3 linked regions of the Caenorhabditis elegans genome follow. The protein of the gene in region 1 interacts with the protein of each later gene in a pairwise test. Each region holds a gene or a part of one and is shown on either strand. Other genes may lie near its edges.

What was found.
Region 2: the proteins of ctnb-1 (region 1) and col-145 interact in a two-hybrid assay, tested with the Caenorhabditis elegans proteins (one large-scale study listed by BioGRID).
Region 3: the proteins of ctnb-1 (region 1) and cup-16 interact in a two-hybrid assay, tested with the Caenorhabditis elegans proteins (one large-scale study listed by BioGRID).

What each region holds. Positions count from the first base shown.
Region 1 is NC_003279.8:5,577,910-5,582,380, forward strand, and holds ctnb-1 (Beta-catenin-like protein 1 N-terminal domain-containing protein), read left to right. Parts: upstream 1-1,756; coding exon 1,757-1,813; intron 1,814-1,855; coding exon 1,856-2,416; intron 2,417-2,460; coding exon 2,461-2,664; intron 2,665-2,708; coding exon 2,709-2,817; intron 2,818-2,880; coding exon 2,881-3,125; intron 3,126-3,376; coding exon 3,377-3,495; intron 3,496-3,545; coding exon 3,546-3,885; 3' UTR 3,886-3,953; downstream 3,954-4,471. Other genes in the region: klp-15 (Kinesin motor domain-containing protein), read right to left, coding at 1-152, 200-987, 1,119-1,272; M01E11.1 (Protein-S-isoprenylcysteine O-methyltransferase), read left to right, coding at 4,193-4,444.
Region 2 is NC_003283.11:9,161,480-9,164,662, reverse strand, and holds col-145 (Putative cuticle collagen 145), read left to right. Parts: upstream 1-1,657; 5' UTR 1,658-1,673; coding exon 1,674-1,784; intron 1,785-1,838; coding exon 1,839-2,612; 3' UTR 2,613-2,671; downstream 2,672-3,183. Other genes in the region: col-10 (Cuticle collagen 10), read left to right, coding at 1-307. UniProt on the Caenorhabditis elegans protein: Nematode cuticles are composed largely of collagen-like proteins. The cuticle functions both as an exoskeleton and as a barrier to protect the worm from its environment.
Region 3 is NC_003280.10:8,705,064-8,709,370, reverse strand, and holds cup-16 (uncharacterized protein), read right to left. Parts: upstream 2,217-4,307; 5' UTR 1,968-2,216; coding exon 1,824-1,967; intron 1,775-1,823; coding exon 1,513-1,774; intron 1,426-1,512; coding exon 893-1,425; intron 844-892; coding exon 688-843; intron 683-687; exon of another isoform or gene 646-682; coding exon 562-645; 3' UTR 511-561; downstream 1-510. Other genes in the region: srg-15 (Serpentine receptor class gamma-15), read left to right, coding at 58-143, 185-302; prx-5 (TPR_REGION domain-containing protein), read right to left, coding at 2,650-2,743, 2,790-3,253, 3,306-3,395, 3,541-3,771, 3,820-4,164, 4,213-4,307.

The sequences.
Region 1 (4,471 bases):
GACTCGAGCTTTCTGGATTCGGCGAACAGAAATGCAGCTGCTCTCGGGATGATTCCTTCCTCTTCACCATTTCCTCCTCGCATCGTGTGAGTTTTGCCACTTCCGGTTTGTCCATAGGCAATCAATCCGACGTTGTACCCATGCAGTGACGACTGAAATTATCAATTTTCAATTATTAATATTATATTTTGAAACTAACCCGAATGAACTCCTCGACGTTCGCGAACACTTCCTTCTGCGAGAAGACTGGCGTGAAAACCTTCTCGAATTTGACCACAATTCCAGGCTTCGAGCCTTCATTGATTCTGATGGTATCGATAGCCGGATACTCAATTGCAGAACTCGAGGCGTCGGCTTCAGATTTGATCAACGGCCGAACGCGAACAGCCACACGAATTTGACCGCGTAAATCGACAACATCGTTGTGCAACTTTCTCAACTCAGCTTCCTTTTCGTTGAGCAGATCCCGGAGATCGTTGTTGTGCACACGATAATCCTCGCACTCCTCCACTTTCGCCTTGTTGACTTCTTTCAGCGTGCTCAATTGATCTTGCAGTGAAATCAGCTTGCGATCCGCTCCTTCAAGTTTGCCATCCAGGATTTGGATCTTGCTCTTCTGATGTTCAGCAAAGTCGGTAGCCTCAGCCATCGCACTCTCGAGCTGCGCAATTTTCTCTTCAAGAAGCGCCATCTTAGAAGGGAGAATAGGCTTCTGTGCCACTGGTCGGGCTCTTGTCACCGACGGCTTCAGGGAAGAAGTCGCAGTTGAGCGTTGAGTGGATGGTGGCGGTGGACGACCTGTGCGAAGTTGTCGAAACGTAGAAGCTGCCGTCAGTGTGGAAATACGGCTCGCGGTGGATTGCATCGTTGGTATGGGACGGGAACACGACGCTGGTTTGGCCATCGCTGATCGTTCTGGCAACGATGCTCTACCAGTTGCAGGCGTTGTGGGGGTAGGCAAACGAGACGGAGGACGACGAGCAGCGGCTGAAAACTCGTAATTAAAGTAGTTGTTAACAAAAAAGGTTTTAAACAAAAACAAAAACATGTTTTATTTAGAAGTGTGAACACTTTGAAATCACGAGGAAGTTATTTAAAAACACAAATGACAAATTTACCTCCAATCGTTATTCCTCCAGGAGCCGACTGTCTTGGGATTGTTGTTGAATTGGCTTCTTTGGTGGATGGCGCGGCAGCACGTCCTCTTGTGATCTTCGGCGTTGCTCCGATAGTCGACCGAAACAGGCCACTTCTTCTTCGAGCGACATTCATCGCGAAATTTGGGACAAAAATGAGGAAATCAGCCCCTTCATTGACATTTTCCCGCTCAAAGTTGAACTCCGCCTCTGAAAATTCCCGCCAAATCGAATGGATTACCGTAGTCAACTACGGTATTAGATCAAAAATTTATATCATGTTGAGCTCATCCAGAATTGTCGGATATAATTATTTTGTTGTCAAAAGGCATAAAGAATGCCGTAAAAATTATTTATAACTATAACACAGAAGGCTTATCCATAATTGCACTGATATCAGGTTATACAAACAAATATATAAAATGCAGGTCTAGAAATTATAATGTGAGCGACACTCCGATATTCCGGTGCGCGCCTTGTTTACCGTATATCTACACCAAAGTAATTGCAAAAAAAAAATTTGAAAATATTTGCTTGCGAAAATTTTTATACACTTTCTTCAATATTTTGATTTTTCTGTGGTTTTTTAAAAATATAGGTTGGTAAATGATTGTTTCCAGATGACTTCTATCGATGTAACAGAGATTATCAAATCATCGACATCTTCTTTGTATCAGGTAAATTGATATTAAATTTTTTTGATTATAAATAGTTTACAGCCAGCAAGAAAGAAATCTCGTTTTGACGATAGTGCTTCTTCTTCATCTCAAGCTGGCCAGCCAAAACCAGAAGATATTCTTGCGGCTTTGGAAGCCGATCAATCAAATTATGTGGCTCTCGACGATGTGCAAGTTAAGAAACTTGTTATTCAACTTGACAAAAAGATGCGATTAAATCGAGAACAAAGAGTTAAAAATCCAGATGATGCTCAGAAATTCATGGAATCGGAAATTGAATTAGACAAGGCAATTCAAGAAATGCATAGTCTGGCTTCTCAACCAGACCTTTATGGATCGTTTGTTGAAGTCAACGGAGTTGAAATTCTTCTTCAATTATTAGGACACGAGAATACTGATATTGTGTGTGCAACACTTAGTCTCTTGAGAGAACTTACAGACGATGATGTGATGAACGAAGGAGAAGATGGAGCAGCTGAACTTATTGAAAGTCTTGTGTCTGGATCGATTATCACAACTTTGTTAGCATGCGTAGAGAGGCTCGATGAAAGCGTCAAAGATGAAGCGGATGGCGTCCATAATGCACTCGGAGTTGTGGACAATGTAAGAAAAATCGATATTTGAAAAACAAAACAATATATTTTCAGATGATTGGTTTCCGCGATGACATTACTGAAGAATGCGTAAAGCACGGATTCACGGTTTGGCTTCTGAAAAGATGCTTTCAGAAAGGTGCATTTGATGCGAATAAGATGTACGCTTCGGAACTTCTTTCAGTCATATTGCAGACTTCTGATACTGCAAAGGCAAAGCTGACAGAGAAAATTGATGGCATCGATATTTTATTGAGAGTGAGTAGCCAAACAAAGTATCAAGAATAAATTGAACTTTTAAGACCATTGCTGTGTACAAAAAGAACGATCCAGCAAATGTAGACGAACGAGAATACATGGAAAATCTATTCAACTCACTTTGTGCCGCACTTATGCATCCGGCTAATCGAAGTACGAATTTTTTTGAATATAAACACCAAAAAAATTGCTCTTGTTCAAAATAAATGTTTTCAGAAAAGTTCCTCGACGGAGAAGGTCTTCAATTGATGAATTTGATGCTCCGAGAGAAGAAACAAGCAAGACAAAGTGCTCTGAAAGTTCTGAACCATGCAACATCAGGAGACGAGGGAATCGAAAATTGCAATAAACTTGTCGAAATGCTCGGATTGAGAACAATTTTCCCGTTATTCATGAGAACACCTTCAAAGACAAAAAGAAAGGATACGACACCTGATGAACATGAAGAACACGTTTGTACGGTAAGATTTATGTTGTGATATTATTTTGAATGTTTTAGCTTCAAAATTGGACTGGTAAATCGGACTTTCGGTTTTTCTCCTTTTTTGAACAAAAATTGAGTTTTCAAATCTGCCTTGCACTTTTTGATACTTATCGAACATATAATTAAATTAAAAATCGAAAAATCTATTTCTACGAATTACATTTTACAAAAAGTGACTAATTTATATTGTAGGAAATGTTCTTTTGATGATAAATAATAATTTTTTAGATTCTCTCTTCACTGCTGGCAGCATGTTCGGAGAACCACCGTCAACGAATTGTTCAAAAATTTGTTGAGCACGAACATGAGAAAGTGGACAGAGCTGTGGAGCTATTTTTGAAGTACAAGTGAGTTGAAGCACATTCCGTTATGAAAAATAATTTTATTTCAATTTCAGAGAAAAAGTTCAACGATTTGAATTGAAAAAGAAGCGTCAATCACAAGAAGCTGGAACATCAGAAGATGATGATCCAGATCGAGCATATTTGGATAAACTAGACAATGGTCTCTACACGCTTCAACGTCTTACTCTTATACTCGGTGAAGTGGCAGTTGGTGTTGAATCGGCTCGTCTCAGAGAGGAGAAGCTTTTCCAAATGAAAATGAGCCAAAATCGATTGGATTTGATGTTGTGTCCAATTATTCAAGAATACAGTGACAATCTTGGTGATGATGCTAATATTGAGCAAGAAAGAGTCCTCGTTATGCTCAGTAAAATTGAAGATTTTTACAAATAATTTATCACTAGCATTTTTCCTTTATTTATTTTTTGTTCTCCGGTTTATGAAAAGTTTCAAGTTTGTGCTATGAATTTGTGTTTTGTTTTTAATTTTATTAAATTTTCAACTGTTGCATGCAGTTTTTCATATTTAAATACTCCAAGATCTAAAAATTAATGTTTCAAACCAATTTTTTTTAAATCGATAAACTTTTTAAAAAAGCTTTATAGATTGGATTACTAGCAAAAGTTTGAAGATTCGAAGAAAATTTGCCATTTATCAAAAATTATTTCCAATGGCCTAATTTACTATCATTCAGATAAAAATGCCTCCTATTCCTCCTCCAACTTTTGTTGGAAGAATAGCTTTTCATCTGAAATCTGATGATGATTTCCGAACAGCTATCGATGCATTTATGGCATCTTTTGCCGTGGTGGCTACCGTATCCGCATCAACTTCCAGCTTCGTTTTTGGAATTCTTGCGAGTTTACTGACGATTCTGATTGCTTATCTGTTCGCGAGAAAACGTGTATTCACCAACAAATCAATTCTGATGCCTGCTGCACTTTTGGGCTGTGTGAGTGGATTTTCTACATCTCGAGTA
Region 2 (3,183 bases), on another chromosome or scaffold:
AGACGGAGCCCCAGGACAAGACGGACAACCAGGAGCCCCAGGACAAGACGGACAACGTGGATCCGGAGCCCCAGGAGGACCAGGAGCCCCAGGAAACGCTGGACCAGCTGGACCAGCCGGACAAGACGGAGCCCCAGGACAAGACGGACAACCAGGACCAGCCGGACCAGCTGGACAAGATGGAGCCCCAGGAAACGCTGGATCCGATGGACAACCAGGAGCCCCAGGAGGACCAGGACTTCCAGGAAACGATGCCGCTTATTGCGCTTGCCCACCAAGATCCGCTGTCTTCGTCTCCCGCCATTAGATTGGTTCAAGACAAGCATCGTCTCTTTTCTTTTTATCAAAATAAAATCATTTTCATTCAAATTTTACTTTTAATAATACATCAAACTACAAGTTAATGTTTGCCGAACACACGAGAGACATTCTTATTTCAATAGTCATTTCGAAAAATTTCACTTTGTCTTTTTGGTCTGCCATGAAGATAAGTGTAATTCCACCTGACAAGAGTGCGAGGAAAGAGGCTGAAAGGTTTCATTGTTTAGTAGACGACAAAAATGTTGGTTGTAATAAACATAAAGTAAATGAAGTGTGTTTTTGTTAAGAATGGCTTAGAAAAAAGTGTAACTTAAATATCATTATGCAGTCTGTGACTAAAGGTCACTAATTTTTTCACAAGATGAAATGGGATAAAAGTTTCGCCAAGTTCGGACGAGTTTAGAGTCGAAAATTTGAATACCGCTTTGAGAAATTATCAATTTTTCTACGATTTAACTAGGAAAGACATCAAGGCTTTCAGTCATGGAGATTGCGAATAGTAGGAACACTAGTTTATAGGTACCTATCAAGTAATAAGAGCATACACATGTACAAGGGTTTTGCTGGTTTTTGCACCCATCGGCTGACAAAATACCTCAATCAGCGAAACAATATTCGGTAATATACCAAGATATGCAATACGAATAGTGACTAGTGAATAATTAATTTACACTAGTTTTCGCGAGTCGTAACATTGTCAAGTTGACAAAATTTGAGTTTTTACCCGGAAATGGATTATTTTTTCAATCTTCAAACTGTCATAACTTTTTTTGTGAAACTTTCTAGACATCTCATTTTAAAATGAAGTGCTTTCGAGGGAGATTTCGGAGTCTAATAAAGCAATGACTTACATTTTGTAAGGCCAGATATAAAATGTTCATCAATGTTTTGTTTTACATATTCATCAACAACCATTCTAAAAATTCAGTCAGGCGCACCCCGTGAGCGATCCAAGAGGTTTAATTGTAAATGTTATCATCCAGTCAAGGAATTTTAAGGTAACGCAAAATATTTCTAAATAACATCCCATCTGACACATTCAGATCGCAACATATCATGCAATCGCCTCGAGAGAAAGTTGTCCGTCCTTCTTCCTCTATCACCTACTGAGAGAAAAGCATTTCATCTTTGTCCGCTTTTTCTCTACGGCCTGCCCACTTTACTATCTTCCTCGTTTGTGGCTTCTGAATGAGGAAGTTGAGGCAAGAAAGACAAGAAAAAAAGCGAGTTCATGGAGACAAATGGAATATTTCATTACACATCTCTATGCAAAAAAAAACTGTATGAGTAATTCAAAAAGAGGAGTATAAAAGGAGGCAAGATAACTAGGAAAGACACCAAGGCTTTCAGTCATGGAGAAGATTCTTGTAACCTTTTCTACCGGAGCTGCCTCCATTGCTGTTCTTGCTGTTCTTTTCACCGTCCCATCCCTCTACAACACCATCAATGAAGTTCACGATCAGGTTTATATATATATACTTTTACAAAATAGTTAAAACAAAATTTCAATTTTATAGGTACTCGATGGAGTCTCTGTTTTCCGTGTTGAGACCGACTCTGCATGGACCGAGATGATGGACATCCAGATCACCGTTACCCCACCAACCAAGCCACGTGTCAACCCATTCAACTCCGTCTTCCGTCAAAAGCGTCAAACTTTCTCTGGACTTCCAGCCTGGTGCCAATGTGAGCCAACTAAGCCAACTTGCCCACCAGGACCACCAGGACCACCAGGACAGCCAGGAGCCCCAGGAACCCCAGGAGCCCCAGGACCAAAGGGAGACGACAACACCGCTACCTTCGCTCCACTGACCTGCGCCCCAGTCTCCCAAGATTGCGTCAAGTGCCCACAAGGACCAGCAGGACCAGCCGGACCATCAGGACCAGCCGGACCAGCCGGACCAGACGGACAACCAGGATTCCCAGGACAACGCGGTAACGACGGATTCCCAGGAGCCCCAGGAGCCCCAGGAGACAACGGACAACCAGGAACACCAGGACAAGACGGATTCCCAGGACAGCCAGGAGCCGACGGACAACGCGGATCTGGAGCTCCAGGAGCCCCAGGAGCCCCAGGAAACGCTGGACCAGCTGGACCAGCAGGACAAGATGGATTCCCAGGACAAGACGGAGCCCCAGGACCAGCCGGACCAGCTGGGCAAGACGGATTCCCAGGAAATGCTGGATCCGATGGACAGCCAGGAGCCCCAGGAGGACCAGGACTTCCAGGAAACGACGCCGCTTATTGCGCTTGCCCACCAAGATCCGCTGTTTTCCTTTCCCGCCATTAAATTTACTTTCATTGTATTCTCAATACTTTCCATGTCATAAAATAAAATTTTTACTTTGTCTTTCATATTTTTAACAGCCTTGTTTACCGATTGAAATCAGCTGAAAACATAAGGAGAAGTCAACAGTAGCACCCGATTGAAGCAATGTAGTGTAAAATCATGTAGTTACTCAACATTTATTGTTTGATTCAACCTTTTCTTCTGTTGTCCAATATAACCAAAAACAACAACAAAAACATTTTTGAGATACAAAATCATTGCTACATCATTAATCAATCTTCATAAAGTCTGATTTTTCGCTTCGAAAAAGAAGCGTTCAAATTAGAGTCAGCCGACCAACAATCTGATCCTGTTTCGAACACCGCAGGTGTCAGATGGATAAGTGACAATGTTGCGGAAGAAAGAGAGATGATGGGAAAAGTTTTGAAAAAAAAACTGGCTTTCCTTTTTTTAGGGATCCTTTGATGGAACCCAGAACTGTGGGAAACATTTAATCCAAATATTTTGGCTAAATAGTTTCATGTATAGGAAAGAACAACAAACATGTTTTAATTAAACATAAAACGCAATT
Region 3 (4,307 bases), on another chromosome or scaffold:
AGACATTGCTCGCAATAATTTTTCCCGTTATTATTTGAATTTTTCAAAAAATTTCAGGCTCTATATGCGTTTTGCACTAGTTGCATGTCATCTGATTTATTATTCACTGCTCAATTTCTGGCGTTTGATATGTTTACTGTTGGGTAGGCGATAACTTTTTGATGTTTAATGCATTAAGTTTCAGATCTGCTGTTATATTATTTTGGAGTAATAGCCAGATACGTGGATTAATACTTCCTTCAAAAGCAGAAGACGATCGGATTTTCAGAGTTCAAACGATCAATAACTCATTTACTCATTGATCTGAAAATTGAATCAGTTAATAAATTTTTTTAAAGGTTTTAAATCGTTTTAGAACATACGTTTGATTGTTATGTTTCTAAAAAGATTGAGAACTTCCAAAAACATTTACTTTTGATTCTGTTCTCAGATTCATGAGTAAGTCAGCTATTTATTCTTTGAAAATATAGATTTTTGAAGCAGAAATAGTTTGTATTTGTTTGTTTAATTATAGTATAAAAGTTGAACCTTTATTGAATTACGTACATATTTACGGAATTTTTATACAAATTTCGTTGTTGAATTTGATATTTTCTTTTCCTTCTTTTTTTTCCCAACTGATTCATACAGTTTTTCGAAATAAGTCTGTAAAATTTAAATCATTAATAATAACGTTTTGATATCAACCTCTAAATTGTTGCACAAACAGGGTTTTGGTGTTGTTGGAGAAAGTGCTCCAGGTAAATAGTCTGAATCTTGACGACGATGTCGAGTTATTCTCGGAAGATACACAGATCTATCATGCCAGTGAGATGATGAATTATGACAACTTCGAAGAGAGCACTGAATTTTTAAAATATTTTCGTATATTTATACTTTATCAAAAACTAACCTTAACGGCTTCAAGAACAATTGTCCACCAAGTAACTTCACCTTCTTCATATGGACTTAACAAAAGTAGAAAATGAATAAGATCCCAACTGATGCGATCTTCCTCTTCTTCTACACGTTCTTTGTCTTCTTCTTCAAAATTGGCAGGTACTCCTGCGGGTTCTCCATTCAATATTTCAGGTACTTGACTAATAACAATAGGCGCTGAAACATCTGCAACGTTGGAAACATCTGATACTTCCGAAATAAAATGATCCTTTAGAATCTCTTGATTTTTTAATTGTTTTAGTTTTGGTACATTCTGAGCAGTCGGAATATTTAAAGAAGTTTGCGGGTTTTGTGTTCCAGACGAACTTCTTTCATATTGAATAGTTGCAGAATTTGAAGTCTCTTCTGGAATAGCCGATATTGGCTTATTCAATGGTTCTTGAATATCGGGATCATCTACATGATCCCTGCGTTCCTTCATTTTTCCGCCCAACTCAGCAAAATGGTGCTCGTTCCGATTTCGAATTTCACTGTCTTCTGGTTCTCCTGAAACATGCTGATGATACAGGTTAATCGTCTACATCTAATGAGTTCAATATGAAAAAAATATTAAATTGATTCTAAATGTTTCACCTTGTTCATCATGATCTAAATCGTCTTCAACACCTTCAATAGAAGGCTCCACAGCAACAATATTAGGTGTTACGGTGGTTGATTGCCTGAATTTAGCTCTTGTGAAGTTGTCCAGTCTACTTTTCAAGTTTAGGTCGTCTTTGATATTAAGTTCAATGTTGTCTGATACTTCGGAAGCTTCATGGACAACTCGTGGCTCTGGTTGCATTACAATACCAATGTTATCTATTTCTTCTTCTAACTTTTCTCCTTTCCCAGCAATCTATAACTAAGTTTTAAACTTTAGAAGCAATCTTCAACTCAAAACTCACATTTGATGATATTCCTTCAAACACTTCATGTTCTGCTGCAGAATCAGATGCAGTGACTTCTATATTTTGTGATAATTCTTCTTGATGACATTGATACAGAGAGAATACAAAATAAAATATCGATAAATTGAGCCAACAAATCATAAATCAAGAACAAGTTGAACTAAGATTTCCAGGGGAATATTACAGCTATTGAAGATGTTTTGGATAGAAGAGAGGAAAAAAGAAAGAGAAAACTTGTGACTGTGCTCCTCTCAATTGGAGCTGTTTCTCTCGGATCTTCTTCTTCTTCAACCAGCTGTACCTTTTCATGATAAATGGCCATGTCATGTGCTTCAAAGACAGAAAGAGAAAAGGAAGAATGTGTTCGATGACCGGCAAATAGAAAAGAGTGAGACGTTTGGAAGAGGGTGGCGGAAAGATGATAATAAATAGAATCAGTCATATGTTCCGAGGTTTTACTCATGGAACGGTGACTCATGTGGAATTTCTGAGCATTTTGTAGAAATTCACCGTAAGAGAAATGATAGGATTTGATTACTTAGTGTCTAGAAGTCTTGAAGAATGTTATTTTAATTTAGGCATTATTCAATCATTTCATTGAGCTCTAACAATGTGAGTTCTACAAACAAAACAAAATGAGCTGAACACTTTTTGTGCTAGGTCGGTTTACTTCCTGCTTTCTTACCGCTGTAATAACATTTTATGACCCTTCCAAACTCGTGATCGGCTTGAAATTGAGATTTTCAAAATGAAAGTTTGAAAACCAAGTAAAAAAATTCGAGGAAAAATAATTATTTATTTTAGTATTTAAATTGTAATTATTCTAGACTAGAGAGGCTTTTACAGCTGCCAAATCTCGTCTTTCCACTGCTCTCAGTAAATTGTCAGGGACATTCGATGTTCGGATTGCTGCTGATCTGAAATTTGTGAAGGTGATTTTAACATATAAAGCTATAAACTAACCTCATAGTTGTCCAAATACCAGATGCATCATTTCCTCCTTTTTGCAATTCTAATGCAGATAAAAAATGTTTCAAAGCTTCATCATAAGATGATAATTGCATACAAGATATTCCCAAATTGTATCTTGCTCTGACATATGTTGGATACAATTTCAAAGCTTCTCGATATGCTGAAATGGCTTCAGCTGTGTGGTCACCATTGGCTAACGTAGCACCAAGACGATTCCAGAGACGAGCATCAGTTGGATTTTTGGAGATCGCCAACTTGAGAGAGTCGACAGCTCTTGCAAAATTGCGATTCAAGTTGTATAAAACTCCGAGAGCATTTTGAAGATCTGGATCTGGAGTTGCTCCTTGTTGCCGAGCAGCATCCAAGAATCTAGCCTCAACTCGATTAAAAGTGTCACTGTCCAGAAATGAAGAGTAGAGTGGAGGTGTGGTTGTCACTTGAGTCGAGTTTGAACCCTTAAAATATTTATTCGTGTGGGATTATTCTTGAAATAAAAATAAGAAATACCAAGTAAGAAGACATCCATTTATCCAATTGATGTAAAGCTTCATTTTCCATTCCTTCGTTCGCTTGACTGACAGACAAACCAAGAAGTGCCTGAAATAATTTTGATTTTATTGGAAGTTTTTTTTTTTTTTTCTTAATTTCTGTTCTTAAAAAGTTTTAAGAGACAGATATGAATTTTATCGCGACCTATCTATTTTATGGCATCAAATAATCAAATATTTTTCTCAAATTTTACCTCCTTGTTTCCAGCGTCAATCTGCAAACATTTTTGGAACGCTTGCATTGCTAACTGATCTTTTTCATTTTCAGCATGAGCCAATCCTAATTTACACCAGGCACGTGCATCCTGAGGATCTTTTTGAACTGCTGCTTCATAGGCAAGCATGGCATTTCCAATATCTCCATTTCTCATTAGATTGTCTCCTTCCATCAGTGGATCTGACATGGTTGTGAAAGGGTTTGCTTCCTGAATAGGAGGGTTATAAAAATGTGTTAAAGAAGACAAAAATCTTACCTGATAAACATAGTTTTCAGGACTTTGAAGAGATTCGTCCTTTTCCATATCTCTCTTAATTTCCTCCCATCTCTGTTCAAAAGCCTGTGCATCTTTCCAAGTGTTTTCCATTCCATAATTATCTTGTTGCTCCATAAAATCATCAGCCCAGTTTTGAGTCCCAGAAGATTTGGTTAAAGAAGTATCCACAGTATCCAGATATTCAGATGACCACATACCAGCATCTGTTATTGGTTGATGTGATGACGTGGATGTCATTGATGGAGCTTGAACTTGACGCCATGCAGATTCCATGCTTGGAGCACTAGATGTGTATTGTTGACTCCATTGACTCGCTAACTGGTTCTGAAGCAATCAATTGAAAATACCAATATATGAATGCATTAGAAATACCTGTCGCGGTTGAAACTCCTTTGTCCAATTTGCTGCCAAACTTGAGGATGCTGATGCCTGTGGTAAATTATTCTGCATCGACTTCATGCTGAAAC